Tribolium castaneum: one gene and its partner. The protein of the gene in region 2 interacts with the protein of the main gene of each other region in a pairwise test. Links are inferred from orthologs where the notes say so. Each region holds a gene or a part of one and is shown on either strand. Other genes may lie near its edges.

Region 1 (3,665 bases), on a different chromosome or scaffold from region 2:
TTTATACTATTTTATGAACGTCTATTCTGATTACTAATTTCCACACTTATTTATTTAGTATTTATTTATCCATCTAATTTTTATTTGGGCAAAATATAGCCAAGGCTCAACATAACCAAGTACAAAAAAAAATAAAAAAATAAAGTAGTTACTTTATTAAAAAAATTAGAAGATGGATAAAGCCGTCTAAAAATGATAGGTATATACAACACTAGAGGAAAGTCTCTTCTGTCCCCCAAATGATTAATTTATCTTCAGGAGAAAATGCACGTCCTTCCCTTGGCACACAAACAGCAATTTTTCTAATTAGTTTAAGTGGACCGTCCCAATAATATTAACGTTCTTTAATAAAGATATTGGAAAGGGCCTCGGGGTGGGTTAATTTCCTTTTTAATTCTTTAGAAGCGCAAAGAGTTGGAAAAGCGGATGAATCGGGAATACGACGATTACATTAACGGAACGCAACGCACAATATCATTACTGGACAAAGAAGAAGCCCGGAAACAGAGGTTCGTGATTAAAATTTAAAAGGATGTAGCGAAATGTGTTTTTTCAGGGAAATGGTGAAAAGTTTAGCTGAGGAAAACCGAAAGTTGGCAGTGGAGCAAAAACAGCGTAAGGAGTTTTTGGAGAAAGTCGTTTATAAAAACACGCCAACGTCGGAATTCTACGACCAGTTTAATAAATCAACAAGATAATAAAAATGTGTTTTATTCAGTTTTAGTAGCGGAGTTGAGGGCCTGTTATTAGGCCCGAATCGTGTAGGTTTTTGATCGAAGTGGCAATAATTTTGGCCGATTTTTTCAAATAGCCGCCGCTGGTTAGCATGACGATTGGAATGTTCCGGGAACGGGCTTCCCGGAATACCAGTTCATCCCGTTCGATGATTCCCTGGAAAGTCAATCAGATAGTTTCATTGTTATGACAGTTATTAGTATCAACCTGGGGCGAGACTGATAAGCACCCCAAAGCGTCTCCTTTGAGAATATCCGTCCCGGCGTTGTAGACGATCAGCTGGGGGCAGAACTCGGCTAGCGCCTCGGTTAGGTTTTTTGCAACTTTGTCCAAATACTCGTCGTCTTCGGTAAAGTGTGCCAGTTCGACTTTTCGGGTGATGTACTCCTTGGCAAGTTTGTCGAACGGGTAAATCCCTTTGTTGTACACGTCTATGATGTAGACGTTGGGATTATCTTTAAAATCCCGCTGATATCCATTACCTTGATGAGCGTCTAAATCCACGATCATGACATTTTGAACGCTCCGAGGGTGATGATTAAACACGAAATGGATCAATAGTGTTATATCAGCATACACACAAAACCCACCACCTTTGCTACCGCAACAATGGTGAAAACCGCCCCCGATATTTATTGCCCAGCCACGTTCCAGAGCTAACTTTCCCGCCAAAACAGAACCGCCAGTCTGGAACCGCATCGGACGCAAATATCCCCTTTGAACCAAGTAATTTGGCACGAGACACAGCGGAAGCACTTCCGCTATCAGCGCTACGTTAAAACTACACTACAAGAAAAAAATTACCGCATGAAAAACCCCCAAAAATATTTACTTTCAGACTTTTCAAATACTTTTTAGTGTGCACCGTTAATAAGTCTTCAGTTGTTGCTTCATTTGGCACCGAAAGCGTTTCGTCGTTAACTAAACCACAACTTTTCAAATATTTATAAATATTGCCCCACTTGCCGGCGTCGAAAGGGTGCAATTTTTCCAACCCCAAAAAACGGACATTGTATTCCGGGCGATAAATAATCGGCCATTGTTCCGGTCCAATATCTACATACAATTTCGTACTGGAAAATTATTTGCTCAAGTGGCGCCAAAAATTGGGATTCACTCACTTCATATTTGGCGCTCAATTCAAATTTCGCGCCAAAATTATCGATCGCCACTGCACCAGATATTTGAAATTAGGTCGATCCCCGTAAACACAAACAAACCGCAACACTATTTACCCCCACATTTAACGAAAATCTTTCAAATATTTGCAAATAATCGCACAGTTACTAAAATAAACGGAAATAATTGTCATTTCACTCTTATTCGCCTTACAGCTGGTGCTAGTTCGGCGCGACCTTCGGCAGATGTCTCCCCAAAATTTTCAAAATTCAATAAGTTGCAAGCGTAAAAAAACACATTTCTTTTATTGTTTTGCAATCAGGCAATTTAAATGTAAGTGTAATCAATAAACAAGCAAAATTTTTAGTGTTTGAGGTAAAAAAAAAGCTTTCAGCGTGTAATTATTTTATTAAGATGTTTTTTACAAGTCGTTCAATTTAATACAGAAACAAAAATAGAACAGTGCAAAATACACCAGCAGCCTCTTCGCCTGGAATACCTTCTAGGTTTTTGCTCGGCGCTTCATTCGAAATTAGCGCCGACACTTATCGATCGTTCCACCTGTAAAATTAGACCGACTCCCCGTAAACACAAACAAATCGCCACATTATTTACACCCACATTTGGTCAAAATTCTTCGTTATTTGCAAATAATCGCACAATTATTGAAATAAACGTGAATAATCCTCATTTGACTGTTTTAATTTGTGCTCGTTTGGTGTGACCTTCGGCAGATGTCTCTGTCACATTTTCAAAATTTGAAATCCTTCAAAAAATGTCATCGTAATGGTTTTTTGGAGTTATTATTATGATAAGTTCAGGGGATATTAATATTCAGTAAGTTTGGAATAGATAAATAAGATACGAATTTATCGTTCTGTAGAAATTTCCAGTCACTTATTGAAAATTATGAGGCTGCTCTCAAGGAGGTGACCGGGGATTTGGACGACGTCCAAGTAACAAATTTGTGAATTTTTTCACAAAAGTGTGACTAAAACATGTTTTTAGGCCGAACAAAAAGCACTCAAGAGAGCCCTCCACGAAAATAGTCAATTGAGAGATGAATTAGGGCGAGTTTACGTCGATATAACTAAATGTGAAGTTGAACATACGTACAAAGAGAGCGATTTGGTTGAAAATTTGAAGAAACAACTGCACACTGTAATTGAAGAAAAAGAACAAGCGGTCAAATTATGGCAAAATGCCGCATCTACTGTTGAACTCCTTGAGTCAGAGCTGCGAATTTTTCACGAAAACACCGAAGGATTTATTCCGAAAAACCAACTCACACAAGTAAATAATAGTTTTTGTTAATTTCGTCAGGTACGAGATTTTTTTGTAGTTGAAAAATTCGTACGAAGCGAAATTAAATGAATTGCAAGACACAGTCGTTCGGACGAAAGTCAAATTAGAGGAAACAATTAATTTAAAGTCGAAGGAATTGCAAATTAAAGACAAGGAAATTATTGGAAGTCTCCAAAGTCAGGACAACACATTTAAAATAATAAAAAATCTCGAAGACGAAATTCTGAACCTCCAACAAAGACTCAACGACTCGAACGGAAATAAGGAGAAGTTGGAAAAAGACGTCCGTCTCAAAAATGAAGAAATCGACGCTTTGAAACTCAAAGTCAAAGAATGTAAAGCCAAAGTTTCGGAAGCTCTTCAAGTTGTTGAAGCGGCGCTTAACGAAAAAGACGCGGCGCTTTTGCGCGAAGCTGAAGCCAAAGGTAAATTCCCCTTGTTTTTCGCTTTAAACCGTTTTTTTGCAGAAGAAACAGCGCGATTTTCCCAAACTTTGACCGAATTTA
Region 2 (3,836 bases):
AGAAGCGCTTATCACTGCATAACCCGAATTCTCGCCAAGTTTCTCATACAGGGTGTCTCAACTAAACAAAAAAACGAAAGTAGCTTAATTTTAATGAGAAAGTTGGCAGCTAAAAGTCAAAATTTTGACTGACTTGTTGGTCCCAAATTTATTCGCCAACCAAAACTCTGCATATAAAAATTTTTTGCTATATATACTTATTTATTTCGTCTTATTTCATATGTAGGGTAAAAATTACTGCTAAAAAACACTTTATTTGAAAATTTACGCTTATAGCGAACTGATTTTGATGTATTTCGTTATAACCGGACCCCACTGTAATAACGAGAATAGATCGGGACTGCTTTTCACGTTTCTGTCAATAATTTAAAAAGCGTCCTTCACGCAATATTACAATGTAAGCATAACAATTATTAATTTAATTGTCACGATTTAGAGCCGTAAACTTTTACTGGAGAATAACCGGTTGGGAGTCAAAATTAATCTTGAAACTGTCACAGCTTAGAACATTATCCGCACTACAAAGAGCCTATACATCACGAAACTAGTTGGAAATACCGTTGAACCCACCAAAAACTCACCTAAATTGAAACAAAGCTGCATTCGCTGGAAATCCTTGCGGTTATTTTAAAATTCGCAGCAGGTGGTATCTGGACTCGTTTAAAAACCCGGTTTACGCGTAAAAAACCTGGTTATTTTTAATTCGGGGGTAAAATCCCCTAGTCTAAATTTAGTTCGAACGGGAGGAAAGGAATTCATCGTGTTTCAATACGCGAGTATGTGGCCTTGGATTTGAATTTTTTACAGGCGCGTATTACATTGCAAGAAGACAGATAATAAACAAATTGCGTTTGAAATAAGCGATAACCGAACAATGCAAGTGCACCACAATGGTCGTTCCGTTGGGGATTTTCGGCACAGACATGTGGGTGCCACACCGACACCCTGACTCACCCTCGGACCCCAAGTCACGAATTCGCCCCTAATTACGGGGGACGTGCACTAACAAAGAACGCGGCCTAGCAACAGCCCCCAGCCTCAAGCATGGCCCCAATTTTTGAATTCTGCGACAACCGGCGCGCATCCCTCGACTCTAACGTCCCAAATCGCGAAAACTACGACATTTTCGCCGGCATTTGTTAGCGGAAATCGCCCCCCGGACCCAAAAATATGCTATTTAATTGACCACTTGGCCCAAAACTCACCTTATCCTCCTAAAATCCTATTTAAAACGAGCACAAATTCTACAACACAACGTTACCACACTACTTATTACAAACTTTTCTTTAACTAAAACGCGCATAATCTCGAATCAAAATGGCGGGCGCCCCACCATTATGCACCGAATGCCGCCCGCTGATTGGTCGGTTTGATTTAAGACGCTTTAGAATTGCCAACTGCTAAAAAACCACCCTAATAAAACTGTCAGGGTGTGGTTGGACTTGTTTATGGGTTTTAAACGATGAGACTCCAATTATACTCCCATAACGTTACACCGAATTACGGCCGGGCTTTACGTTCGCAAAAACCAACACAAAGTCGTTTCGTGCAAATGGGAAAAAAACAAAAGAAAAACGCTAATGGGACGACATCTGCAGGACTGTTAACACACTTTGCGAACACCTGTCCCACCTTGAAAAACACAATTCGGTAAAAATAGCCCAATGAAGGCAATAACGGGCCACCAAATGCCAAGCCACTCGTAAAATAATTATTTTCTGTGACAAAACTCCTTGTCGGTTTGTGCCACAAACAATTTATCGATTTTTTTTCATTACCATTATGCATTGTCTCATTATTACAGCAATTAATACGTAAATCGTCCCATATCTAAAAAAAAAAATTAAAAAAGTGTCCTTCCAGTTTTTATATTTACGATTGGTAGCGCTGTAATTTGACATCTGTGTTTTGACAGGTCCGATTTTTTCGAATTTTTGCCCAAAATAGCCCAGAATTACGGTAAATCCTCGTCATTTTCGCAATAACTCTCCATTTGTGATTAGCTTTTGCCCCCTTTTGCCGCAATGTCGAAGCCGGGGACCTCCGAAACCCAGGAACAAATCGCACAAAAAACCTGGGAAATGGCCAATAAAGTCGAACTGGTGAACTCGGTCGACGATATTTACCGCTACGACAAGAAGCAGCAGCAAGACATCCTCGCCGCGAAGCCCTGGGAGAAAGAGTAGGCAAAAGTCGGCCCTAACCTCACTTTACCTAATCTCAATTTCCAGCCCTCACTTCTTCAAAGATATCAAAATCTCGGCCTTGGCCCTCTTGAAAATGGTCATGCACGCGCGTTCGGGGGGCACCCTGGAGGTCATGGGCCTGATTTTGGGCAAAGTCGACGGAAACACAATGTTTGTGATGGACTCGTTTGCGCTGCCTGTGGAAGGGACAGAGACCCGAGTCAACGCACAAGCTCAGGCTTACGAGTACATGAGTTCGTACATCGAGGCTGCGAAGCTGGTGGGCCGCCAGGAGAACGCGATAGGCTGGTACCACAGCCACCCGGGATACGGGTGCTGGTTGTCTGGGATTGACGTTGGCACCCAGATGCTCAACCAGAATTTCCAGGAACCGTTCGTTGCCATTGTGATTGATCCTGTGAGAACCATTTCCGCGGGGAAGGTGTGTCTAGGGGCGTTCAGGACGTACCCGAAAGGGTACAAACCAGCAAATGAGGAACCGTCAGAGTACCAGACCATTCCTCTGAACAAAATCGAGGATTTTGGGGTGCATTGCAAACAATATTATTCGCTTGAAGTGTCGTATTTTAAATCGTCACTTGATAGGCGATTGCTTGATTCCTTGTGGAACAAATATTGGGTCAATACTTTGAGCTCGTCTAGTTTGTTAACGAATGCTGATTACACAACTGGGCAAATTTTTGATTTGTCGGAGAAGTTGGAACAGTCGGAAGCGGCCATTGGGCGCGGGGGGTTCATCGTAGGCGGCACTGATCCGCACGAAAAACGAACAGAAGACAAACTGTTGAAAGCTACAAAGGACAGTTGCAAGACTACGATTGAGATTATTCACGGACTGATGGCCCAAATGATCAAAGACCGGCTTTTTAACAGCACTTCCTTGAATAATTCGACCCATTAACGCGTTTTAATCTGTCTGATTTGTTTGGATTTAATAAATATTTATTTATAATCTAATTGGTGTGTTATTGGTTACCTAGTCCTAAAAAACTACGGATATCTAAAGGTTAGGATACGAAACGTCGTACAAATAAAACGTTCCCTTCCAAAGCAATGGATTTGAAAAAATTGTATTCGTATATCGGTTAACACAGCAAAAAAATACAGGCAAATGGAGCATTAAATTCTCAATAGTAAGACATAAACATAATGAAAAAAAAATACCGTAAACTACATTTAAAAAAATTTCAATCTTTGCCAATTAGCACTCTATCCCATATTTTTCAAAACGCTGGGAATACGATCAGCTTTTCTCAGTCTGTTCAGAGTGCAAAACTCAACATTCCTGCATTTTTTTTTTCAAGTAATTAGTGAATAATTGAATGAATTTAAATTAATTTAAAACGACTTGGCGCCGGTATAACGCTCGAAGTGCCCACATTTTTGCTTCACTTTTTGGGTCCAGAAAATCCCACGATTCTGCATCTCGTTCCGTCTCCTAAGTCATAGTCCTCCGTAGCAAAAACCCAACCGGATGCATTTATATTCCAGTGCAAACATTATGCAAACGATAATTGCGTCAAACACAAATTCTAGAATCAATCCTTTAAAAATAAAGATTTGTTGACACGTCGGAAGTACCAAACAAATTCTTGTTTTTCTAAGCCAGTTTCAAGGATAAGTGGTGCA

Evidence for each region.
Region 1: the proteins of CSN5 (region 2) and HDAC11 interact in a two-hybrid assay, tested with the Caenorhabditis elegans proteins (2 studies listed by BioGRID). The link is inferred for Tribolium castaneum from reciprocal best matches to the Caenorhabditis elegans genes csn-5 and hda-11.

What each region holds. Positions count from the first base shown.
Region 1 is NC_087402.1:4,112,270-4,115,934, forward strand, and holds HDAC11 (histone deacetylase 11), read right to left. Parts: upstream 2,103-3,665; 5' UTR 1,862-2,102; coding exon 1,857-1,861; intron 1,809-1,856; coding exon 1,568-1,808; intron 1,522-1,567; coding exon 943-1,521; intron 892-942; coding exon 721-891; 3' UTR 699-720; downstream 1-698. Other genes in the region: RIB43A-like with coiled-coils protein 2, read left to right, coding at 403-509, 557-698; myosin-9, read left to right, coding at 2,663-2,691, 2,738-2,810, 2,863-3,147, 3,197-3,584, 3,627-3,665.
Region 2 is NC_087395.1:23,654,436-23,658,271, reverse strand, and holds CSN5 (COP9 signalosome complex subunit 5), read left to right. Parts: upstream 1-1,638; 5' UTR 1,639-1,959; exon of another isoform or gene 1,960-2,003; 5' UTR 2,004-2,024; coding exon 2,025-2,182; intron 2,183-2,231; coding exon 2,232-3,108; 3' UTR 3,109-3,164; downstream 3,165-3,836. UniProt on the Caenorhabditis elegans protein: Probable protease subunit of the COP9 signalosome complex (CSN), a complex involved in various cellular and developmental processes.